Drosophila melanogaster: one gene and its partner. The protein of the gene in region 2 binds, or shares a complex with, the protein of the main gene of each other region. Each region holds a gene or a part of one and is shown on either strand. Other genes may lie near its edges. The genes, in order: norpA and inaD.

Region 1 (4,908 bases), on a different chromosome or scaffold from region 2:
ATTCACAATATAATCTAAAATCAAACATGTCATTTTGTATGCTACTTCAGTTTATTTTGCAATAGCAAACAGTTGCATCCTTTTTCTCTCAGTGTCCTGATCATAGTTCGTGTTGGCTTGTGTGTTTAACTTACGTAGATATGTATTTAATTAATTGGCTTCGGCTTTTGTTGTTCCTGCTTTTGCTACCTATTTTTGTTTGTTATTCTTGTTTATTTATATTTGTTTGTTTTTTCCCGCCTTGCGAATTTCAGTTTGAAGAGCATTGCAAGATTTACAGTTTGATCAGTCGGCTGTCGCACTCTCTCGCTCTCTCCACGTTTCCTTAAGTTTACTCACAACAGGTAACACTGTATTTGGTTGCACTTGTTTTTTTTATTTTTTGTATTTCAGCTCACAGCCACTGCAAAAAATATGCGATTGCTGTGAAAATGTACACACATAAAAAAAAGAAAAAGAAATAGAACAGGTAATAATAATACAATGGGTAAACATGCGGCAAACAAAACCGAAACTGACACCAAAACGAAACACGTTGCCGTTTCGCTCTCTCTCCGTGCCGTGTTCCCTTGTTTATCGCGGATTATATTATGCGAGCGGACTAACGGGAAAAGCTCCGGCGGACGACCACTGACCAACTGAGAACGGAGAGCCAGCAACGGAGAACTTTTATCTCAAGTACAGTGGGGCCTTTTTGTGCAGACGGATAAGTGCTGATTTAAATAATTAATCTGCATATGAATATATTGAACAAACTAAACTGCTCTATAAATGCTATGAAACTAAACAGTACACATTGATGACTATCCACTTTTATGGCCAGCTATATACGTGCGACGAATGACTACTGTACCGGCGCTCTCTGCTGCTCTTGCCCGCTCTTTCTGCGTGGGTGATGATCGTGCGAGAGAGCAAGTGCAAATATGATTATTGTTCCTTCGCCTGCCGTTCTCCTCTCCATTTCTTCCGCCCCATCATGCAGCCACACACCAATACCTATGGTGCGTTTGTGTGGGTGCGATGAGTGTGCGACGGCGTTCGCTTTAACGGTTTGTTTGTTATTTTATTATTATAGCTTTATTGCACAATCCCAGGCCACCCACCGCCCACTGGCACGCCCCCTTTCGCTCGGTTGCAGTTCAAACAAACAAAAGGAAATGAGGGAGAAGCATAATAAAGCTTCTGATCGCCACACTTGCCACAAAAAGTAAGCTACGTAGAACTACAGTAGAGCTTGAATAATGCACATTTGCAGCTTGGGCGAGAGATGGAAAATATGAGTATTTGCTAATTAACACCTACAAAATTAAAAAGAAAAAAAATGATAAAGCTAAATGGGAATTGGATGATTTAAAGTATTTGCGGCTCAATTTTTTTAAATTTGTTTTGTTTATCGGTCGTAAATCATTATTTTTTTTATTTTGAAATAACAGTGTCGAATAACTCAGTGATTTTACACTAAAGTTTAAATATTTTAAACTCTTAAATTTTTCGAGTAAAATATTGTATTGTTAACAGAAAAGTGAGCGTTTATAAAAAAATATCAATCTTACAAGCGATTCATGAATATGTTGTACCATGTCTTTTGTTTCTTTCAGTGCACAGTGGCTGCGTGGACGTCGACAGAGGGCAAAACAAGTGGCCGTCGTTAGTGCGAGCGAGACGCGGCGACCAAGTGCGGATGGGTGCGAGCGAGAGGGCTGGCGGACTGGCAAATTGTTGTTTGCTCTGCCGACGTCGTTTTTTGCGTGTGTAAATTTGAATACTTCAATTTTATGTGTGCTTTTCCCTCCCCACCACATATCCACACCATCCTAACAACAACAACCAGCACCTTGTGTTCGTGTTTGCGTCGGCGTGCGCGCAAGTAAATTTCTTCTAATTTAATATTTTGTTTATATTATTTATTCATATACTTATGTATTTGCGTAGCCCCTCCCACAACTAACCCTCCTTCGAGCACTTGTTTGTTTATGTATTTCACCTGCTCCTGCTCCGCTCCAGCCCACGTTTCGACCATTTCTTGCCCCTCGTCACGGCCAAGTTTACGTTTTTGGTAAATCATTTACAATTTGGATTTCCGATCGCTTTTCGAAAACCCCCTCTCGAAATATCAACAATCAAGCACTTTGCCAGATGCACAGAAAGAAACTGATGTGATTTCAATGGCTTACTAGCTGTTCGATATTTGATTAAGTTGATGTCTCTAAAGAAGGAAAACGTTTTCCACAACTTTTCTTCTTAAACTCGGAAAGCGATCTGCATGCAATCGAAAACTTTTACTGCAGTCTTTCATTCGTACAAATGCGCTACGAAAATAATTTAACAACTTACACATGGATCACATTACCACTTTTATCAATGAGTAATTGTAAATATTTGTTGAAAGCTATTTGAATTTTTGCCGTTAGTTTTTAGTGATTTATGTACTTAGGAACACACTGAATTCCAATGTGCAATTCCGGCAAATTGGCTACTAAGCGGGCTTTAAAAACTAATTTCGCTTCTGCAACCCTCAAAACAGAGAACTTTTGAATATGCAAATGCAAATCAACAAAAAACAAAAAAACGTATTTTTCGCAATCTGCCTCCTACCTTAGATTCTCCGCAGCTCCTCTCCACCTCCTTTTCACGCTCTTGTCTCTCTTTTGAAGCTTCCTTCGCGTTCGCGTTTGTTTGACTTTGATTCCGTTTGGTTGGTTTGTTTGTTGTTGCCACTCTTTGGCTGTTTCTGTTTTTATGTTGTTATCTCTTTCTTGTCAGCTTCTCTGCACTTTCAAAAAACAAACACTGTAAAAAAAAAATGAGTCTTGTTTACCACGCGCGAGTATGGGAAATTCTCGGGAAACCAACTCGTAAAAAAAATATTTAAAAGGGAAAACAAGAGCAGGGCAAGGCGAAAAGGAGTTACAGAAAGCGCGTGTGGCTGTGATTTATTTTATTATACGGTTTCGCCCACAAAGGACTTCACTGAGCTTTTAGTGCGTCTATGTTTTTCGTTCTATTTTTCCAAGGCTTCAGTTTTTTTACACGGAATTTTGACCGTTTTGTTTTTCGTTTGTTTTTATTTGTTGTCTGTTGTTGTTGGTTTCCGCAGCACAAATGAAAATTCGCGTCCGTTTCGCACGAGTGTTAGTGATGTAAAAAAGCATCGAATGCATTGACCACCGATGTTTCTCGACGATACATTTCAGTGCTTGCGCTTGGTATCGATTGGCTTCTGTTAACCTCAGTGGCACAGCTTGCAGTCTCTAGCACGGACTCAAACCTGTATGTTAACTTTTTAATATTTAATTGGCAGGGACTTCAACCAAAGATACATATGTGAATGACTTCTACTAACCACATTGCATCTGAGAGCTTTTTAGCAATTTCGAAAGGAAGGCTTTAAAACAGAGAGACATAAATGCATCAAATATAAATATAGTAATATTAAATATATACTCATCATACGTGGACACCGATTGTTTTTCAAAATATCCGGGTGAAAAGCTTGAGCCCTCGGGTGGTAATCGATAGGCGCAGTCAGCTGTTCTTCGTTCCTATCGTCTTGCTTGCACAATAATTTCAGCGGCATATTTCCATAATTCACTGCATTTTCCCCATTTACCGAATCAAAATGCGTCTAACTAACGTTTTGTTCAAAAAGGTGAAGAGCAAGTGAGTAATTTGGACATCCAATTTGTTCTTTTTGTTAAAACCAACCGTTTTTACAGGCGCATCATGGTCGTACTGGAAAGTGTGGTCAGTGGACATCAGTTTAATGCTTTTCGCGATCGCTTGGCCGACAAATTGGAGATAATACGCTTCGATCCGTACAGTGAGTGCCGGCCATCACTGACTTTATGCATATGCACTGATGTTGCCCATGTTTCTTTTTCAGTTCAACAGGAAAGCCTTTATCGTGAACGCAAGAAAATCCGCAGCGCCTAAGATAACCATTTTTTGTTAGTGAAAAAAATAAAATTTACAACTATTGGAAACACCAAAAAACAACCGAGATATATGTGCGAATGTGGGTGCTTTATTTTCGGCAGAATAGGAGCATTATAAATCTGGTTACATATTTATACAAAAATATTAATTTACGCTCGTTTTAGATACACATTCGCATCGATACTTAATTCTAATTATCAACAGCAACTCGCTTTCGATTGCCGTCTACTTAAACGGCTTCTCGGTCATAAGAAGACCATGCTCCCACAGGGCGGTGGCGACCTCTATCTTGCGAGCTGAAGACTCCAATGGCAACTGATCAATGGTGAGGTAAAATGGATAGGCCGATATGAGGAGCTCAACGGCTTTAGCTTCCTCTGGCAGAATCTCCATGAAATAGGGCTCGTACTTGCAGTAATCCAGGCCATTGTCCACATGGTGGTAGATACGCACGCTGCCATCGGACTCGGTCACCAGACGCAGAATGTTGGCACGCAGCAGGCGCACGGATGTCTTTTTATTGAATTTGTAATCGCAGACGCAGTTGCCCTGCTCATCGGCATCACTGCGTGCCCCATGAACAGTGCGCACCTCCTCCGAGGGCAATACGATCGGCGGAAGTGCCTCGTGCTGGAACTTCTTGGCCATCTGGTCGACGGCCTCATCAATATCATCTTCGGAGGGCATCAAGTAATTGGTCACCAGCTTCTGCACATTCTCCACCAGCTGTTTGCGCGACCCGCAGTCATTTCCCTTGTAGGCATTGCCCAAAACTTGAAAAGTGTGCAGCGGCAAGCCGCGACGCAAGGCCACACTCCGATCGACGGCCTTCTTAAGAACCATGGGCATTAGTGTCTCTAGAAGATTGGCATATGCCTGCTGTTGGTAAACACTCAAGGTAATGTGCAGCGAGTGCTGTTGCTCTTCGGTGATGGCCTGGTGAACAGCGCCTCTCGGGAAATATAGTACATC
Region 2 (5,690 bases):
CGTTCTGAGTCATACGAGAATTTTCCCCGCTCAGTCCGGTAATCCATTTTCAGTTGTGGTTTTGTGGCTTTCCTTATTACCCAGCTCCCCAGGTCCTGTGCAATTTCCATATTATTCCAAATCCGAATCGTTGCCTCAAGTGTTTTGGCGCAGAAAACTGTAATTTTTATTCATTTCCAGGACGCAGTCTGAAGTGCCTGCTAAACGATTATTAGCAATTTGATATAACTGCATGTAAGTACAACACGAGAACAAGTCAACAACGGATTCGCCTGCACACACACACACACACACACACACACAGACACGTGTGGCCACTTACATAAGGACGAGTGGGTGTATGTGTGTGAGTGTGTTTGCCTGTGTGACAGCCAACAGTGGAAAATCACTTCAGTTAACTAAATCCCCGCAACAACCATGCGCCGACTGCGCCGCAGCAGCACGACTTCTGCAGGAGCGGACAGAGAGAGAGAGAGAGAGAAGGAGAGAGAGAAACAGAGAGCGGAACAGCCGAAAAGGACACGGCACAAAGCAGCCATTGCAGGGGCGTGGCCTGCGGCCAGAGAGCCAATCGGAGGGCGAGGTCTTGCGAACAGCGACGTCGGCAGCGGCAGAGGCTGCAAGGGACGAGGAGAGAGCGGGGCGGGGCTGGGGGAAGAGGTGGAAAAGGGGGCGGCAGCGTTAAGCTCATTGCCATATTTTCGCTGTGCTCTCTTTTGAATTTACTTTACTAACAAAACATGACTGTTGGGAGGCAAAAAGGAAATTGTTTTATCAAATGGGTTTCCTTACGCTTTTTTATTATGAAATTAATTTCCAGCATCGTTTCGCAGTCGTTGACGTTCCACTCCCATCGCTCTCACTCCCACTCTCCGTTGGGTTCGCCATTTTCCAGTTTAAACCCCATTTTGCGCCCAGCTCCTTTGAGCATGTGTTTACTCTAGTTTTCCTTTGGAGCTGCCTTAGCCATTCCACTTTCGTTTCATTCCGTTCGGGCAATGTTCGGGAAATGTTTGCATAGTCATATTCTCCCTTCCCTGCCTCCAGTTTCCTTTTTTCATACCGCCTTTCCCCCCGACAAAGGCATTAAAATGCAAATCTTGATTATGAATTTAAGCTCGGCAGACAAATTAAATTTATTTGCCACTCGAAAGATAAAAATCTTGAAAGTTTTATTTGATTACCGCTTGTGTCTGGTTCAGAAGTTCCCCAGCAATCCTTACCAATTCGCATTGAAATTGTTGCCTACTTTTTGGGGCTATATTATTGATACTGAATATATACAGTTCATATTCAATATCATATCATTGTCACCTTACATTTTATATTTATTTACTCTTTATTCTTCGGTATTTTGTGCGCATTTTATTATTGTTTTTTTATTAAGGATATTATATGTTTTAAAAATGTCCCCCACAAATTGTTGTTATTTGCAGTGCCGATATAGAAGCTCTCGCCCAGGTAAAAGTGTGTGAGACATATGTTATTCAGTTGTAAGTGCAATGAAAGAAAAATATAAAATCGATGGGCATTGCTGGTCAACACTTGGTGGGCTTCTCCTGGCGGAGTGTTGAGTTCAGCACGGGCCAAATCGTACCAACAAATTAATAACTTGATAGGGCCAATAAAGGTACATGGGTATCCATTTTCCCCTAGCCTTCACATCCGCGATGGTAACCCATATAATGGCCGTCTTCGGGGAGCTGGGTGTTTTGTGAGTGGTGTCATAACAGACAGTGAAAGTTACTCAATTCATTGGAGGCACCTCCTCCGAATCGATAGCACTGTACTGCAAGGTAATATTTTAATGGGTAATCTCAAGATACGAAACATTTTCATTATTATTAGTAGAATTTTTCTTTTACTCAAGCATTCTTTAGAAGGAAAGTTTGTGAAAGTGTCTTAGCATATATGTATGAACTACATGCATCTGGTACTCTAAGATCAACCCTGCTGACCAGTGTAATCGATACGAAAATCATACTCAAAATAGAATGGCCACTAAGTCAGTTAGCAAGAATGTTCGCCCGCTAATTGTAAAATCAGTTTAGGCGCACTTTTCAATGGACTCAAATCGGGCGCAGCCAACGCGGAATATTCACAAATAATAATTAAGTGAAAACCCATAACAATAAATATTCGATATTACATTTGAGCTTAATTCGGTGCGCTTAATGTCCGGTCAGTGAGTCGCGAGTTTTTGGCTAGGATTACGGAGCAGTCGATCTCAAGCAGCGAGGATGGTTCAGTTCCTGGGCAAACAGGGCACCGCGGGTGGTCAGTGTCCATTGAGTGGTTTCATGACCAACTGCTAATCAAATTTGCAGCTAGTCCCGAAAGAACTTGACCTTCCAAAGGTCACTCAATACTCGTTTTGTGTTTTATGAATCAAATAAAACAAAATTTGAACAAAAGCCAATTCAATTGACTTTATTGATTCTTAAGAATCCTGTGAGAAATATGTTTATGTAATGAACTTAACCTTAACATTTATATAAACGATTATACAATATTGGTGAAAATTATTTTGCGAAAGGATACCAAGTGGGATAAGGACCCCAATAAATATTTATTAGTAATAGCTTCACATTTGTCTTAGTCGTACTTTAACAATACGTTGTAAATAGTTTTTATTTCATTTGGAATGCACAATCCTTTCCCAGAGCTCATTCACATGGTGACCCTGGACAAGACGGGCAAGAAGTCCTTCGGCATCTGCATAGTGCGCGGCGAGGTGAAGGATTCGCCCAACACCAAGACCACCGGCATCTTCATCAAGGGCATTGTGCCCGACAGTCCCGCGCATCTGTGTGGTCGCCTAAAGGTTGGCGATCGGATCCTCTCGCTCAACGGAAAGGATGTGCGCAACTCCACCGAACAGGCGGTCATCGATCTCATCAAGGAGGCGGACTTCAAGATCGAACTGGAGATTCAGACCTTCGACAAGAGCGATGAGCAGCAGGCCAAGTCAGATCCGCGGAGCAATGGCTACATGCAGGCCAAGAACAAGTTCAACCAGGAGCAGACCACCAACAACAATGCGTCCGGAGGTCAGGGAATGGGGCAAGGTCAGGGTCAGGGTCAGGGAATGGCTGGCATGAACCGGCAGCAATCGATGCAGAAGCGGAATACCACATTCACGGCCTCGATGCGTCAGAAGCATAGTAACTACGCCGACGAGGATGACGAGGACACCCGGGACATGACCGGTCGCATTCGCACGGAGGCGGGTTATGAGGTGGGTTAACCCAAGGTCGCCACCCATCGCTCTACTAACTTATAAGTACCTTAGATCGATCGAGCATCCGCCGGTAATTGCAAACTCAACAAGCAGGAAAAGGATCGCGACAAGGAGCAGGAAGATGAATTTGGCTACACGATGGGTAAGACTCAATTGAAGCCATTAAAAAATGTCAGTCACACAGCACGTGAATGCCATTCCCAGCTAAGATCAACAAGCGGTACAACATGATGAAGGATCTGCGCAGGATCGAGGTCCAGAGGGACGCCAGCAAGCCACTGGGACTCGCACTCGCTGGCCACAAGGACCGCCAGAAGATGGCCTGCTTTGTTGCCGGTGTGGATCCCAACGGAGCATTGGGTAGCGTGGACATCAAACCGGGCGACGAGATCGTCGAGGTCAACGGCAATGTGCTGAAGAATCGCTGCCACTTGAACGCTTCCGCCGTGTTCAAGAACGTGGATGGGGATAAGCTCGTGATGATCACCTCGCGACGCAAGCCCAACGATGAGGGCATGTGCGTCAAGCCCATCAAGAAGTTCCCCACCGCGTCTGATGAGGTCCGTACTTTTCACTTCTTTTCGGATGGATCCTGCGATAAAATGTCCTTCCCTTCTATTCCAGACTAAGTTTATCTTCGACCAGTTTCCCAAGGCGCGCACGGTGCAGGTGCGCAAGGAGGGTTTCCTGGGCATCATGGTCATCTATGGCAAGCACGCTGAGGTGGGAAGTGGCATTTTCATCTCGGATCTGAGAGAGGGATCGAATGCCGAGTTGGCGGGCGTGAAAGTGGGCGACATGCTGCTGGCCGTTAATCAGGATGTAACACTGGAATCCAACTACGATGATGTGAGTCGTCAGGAAGCCCTCCAACCACTTAGTTTAAAACCATTTCATATCCACTTCAGGCTACTGGACTGCTTAAACGTGCCGAGGGCGTAGTGACCATGATTCTATTGACTCTCAAGAGCGAGGAGGCGATAAAGGCTGAGAAGGCGGCGGAAGAGAAAAAGAAGGAGGGTAGGTATTGCGTCCAAGCAAGTTCAAAACTGACATCTTCATCCCGATAACTCACAGAGGCCAAGAAAGAGGAGGAAAAGCCACAGGAACCCGCCACAGCCGAGATCAAGCCGAACAAAAAGATACTCATTGAGTTGAAGGTGGAAAAGAAGCCAATGGGCGTCATCGTCTGCGGCGGCAAGAACAACCATGTCACGGTGGGCTATCTGAACTTTCTGTTTCTGCAAGAAGTACCTTAAACAACTTTTCCCTGACAGACTGGCTGTGTAATCACCCACGTTTATCCGGAGGGACAAGTGGCAGCCGACAAGCGCCTCAAGATCTTTGACCACATTTGCGATATAAATGGTACGCCAATCCACGTGGGATCCATGACGACACTGAAGGTCCATCAGTTATTCCACACCACATACGAGAAAGCGGTCACCCTAACGGTCTTCCGCGCTGATCCTCCGGAGCTGGAAAAGTTTAACGTTGACCTTATGAAAAAAGCAGGCAAGGAGCTGGGCCTGTCGCTTTCTCCCAACGAAATTGGATGTACCATCGCGGACTTGGTGAGTGCACATACACCACTGGTATACAGTGGTAGGAAGGCTCAACCCTAAGTAACTACTTTCTCGACAGATTCAAGGACAATACCCGGAGATAGACAGCAAACTGCAGCGCGGCGATATTATCACCAAATTCAATGGCGATGCCTTGGAGGGTCTTCCGTTCCAGGTGTGCTACGCCTTGTTCAAGGGAGCCAACGGCAAGGTATCGATGGAAGTGACACGACCCAAGCCCACTCTACGTACGGAGGCACCCAAGGCCTAGAGACGATCCTCATTCTCCTCCTCCGGTAGCGAAGCAGTGCAGCAATTCAATAAAAGAACCAACAATTCGAATTCAAAACAATCTGTTTTCCGTTGTGGGTTTATTGAAAAGGAAACTCCTTAGGCTATAGAGCTTGCATTGGATGCAATACGGGGCCACAGATCGGCGCATTCCTTGGCCACCGGTCCAGTGATGGCCGAGCCCTTCATTTCGCCCTTGTTGTTTACTATTACCCCGGCATTGTCCTCAAAGTATATAAACACCCCGTCCCTCCTCCTGAACGGTTTGCGCTGCCGAATAACCACGGCAGGCATGACCTGGAAACAAATGAAAATAGTAGTTAGCAAAGTTGCTCGGCAGTGTGCAAACCTCCTGCTGCATCGGTTAGTTATGCAAAAGTGCGTTGTTATAGGTGGGGGAATTATGAGAAGTGCAGTGAAACCGTTTTATAAACCTTCTTCACTACAATTTTAAATTCTTATCAATAAACAAAAATATTAAAAACGTGAGTTTGGTGCGATAAGCTATCTTAGCCGGCACAAAACATGTGGGGAAAATTTATTGGAAGCGTAAGGAGAAACCTTCCACGTCTAATACAAATCTATCTATATTA

Evidence for each region.
Region 1: the proteins of inaD (region 2) and norpA are in contact, whole or in part, in a crystal structure (PDB 6IRE), measured with the Drosophila melanogaster proteins. Residues at the interface, in NP_726260.1 of Drosophila melanogaster: Pro498, Gly500, Tyr521, Glu523, Lys555, His557, Gln558, His561, Thr562, Thr563, Glu594, Leu595, Gly596, Leu597, Ser598, Leu599, Ser600, Pro601, Ala609, Asp610, Ile612, Gln615, Phe642, Gln643, Val644, Cys645, Tyr646, Phe649, Lys650; in NP_001162661.1 of Drosophila melanogaster: Arg904, Gln908, Gln911, Asn912, Ile915, Asn929, Lys934, Ile937, Asn938, Gln940, Thr941, Arg952, Asp1070, Lys1073, Leu1074, Asp1076, Met1077, Ile1080, Glu1081, Glu1083, Ala1084, Thr1087, Gln1088, Lys1090, Thr1091, Glu1092, Phe1093, Tyr1094, Ala1095.

The regions. Positions count from the first base shown.
Region 1 is NC_004354.4:4,320,843-4,325,750, reverse strand, and holds the start of norpA (no receptor potential A), read right to left. Parts: upstream 3,126-4,908; 5' UTR 2,596-3,125; intron 2,143-2,595; exon of another isoform or gene 1,950-2,142; intron 404-1,949; 5' UTR 135-403; intron 1-134. Other genes in the region: mRpL33 (mitochondrial ribosomal protein L33), read left to right, coding at 3,620-3,660, 3,717-3,820, 3,884-3,933; NO66 (nucleolar protein 66), read right to left, coding at 4,162-4,908. UniProt on the Drosophila melanogaster protein: The production of the second messenger molecules diacylglycerol (DAG) and inositol 1,4,5-trisphosphate (IP3) is mediated by activated phosphatidylinositol-specific phospholipase C enzymes. Essential component of the phototransduction pathway.
Region 2 is NT_033778.4:22,855,149-22,860,838, reverse strand, and holds inaD (inactivation no afterpotential D), read left to right. Parts: upstream 1-2,044; 5' UTR 2,045-2,240; coding exon 2,241-2,277; intron 2,278-2,627; coding exon 2,628-3,238; intron 3,239-3,292; coding exon 3,293-3,383; intron 3,384-3,445; coding exon 3,446-3,801; intron 3,802-3,865; coding exon 3,866-4,090; intron 4,091-4,149; coding exon 4,150-4,261; intron 4,262-4,318; coding exon 4,319-4,458; intron 4,459-4,518; coding exon 4,519-4,815; intron 4,816-4,885; coding exon 4,886-5,077; 3' UTR 5,078-5,151; downstream 5,152-5,690. Other genes in the region: RpL23 (ribosomal protein L23), read right to left, coding at 5,197-5,394. UniProt on the Drosophila melanogaster protein: Involved in the negative feedback regulation of the light-activated signaling cascade in photoreceptors through a calcium-mediated process.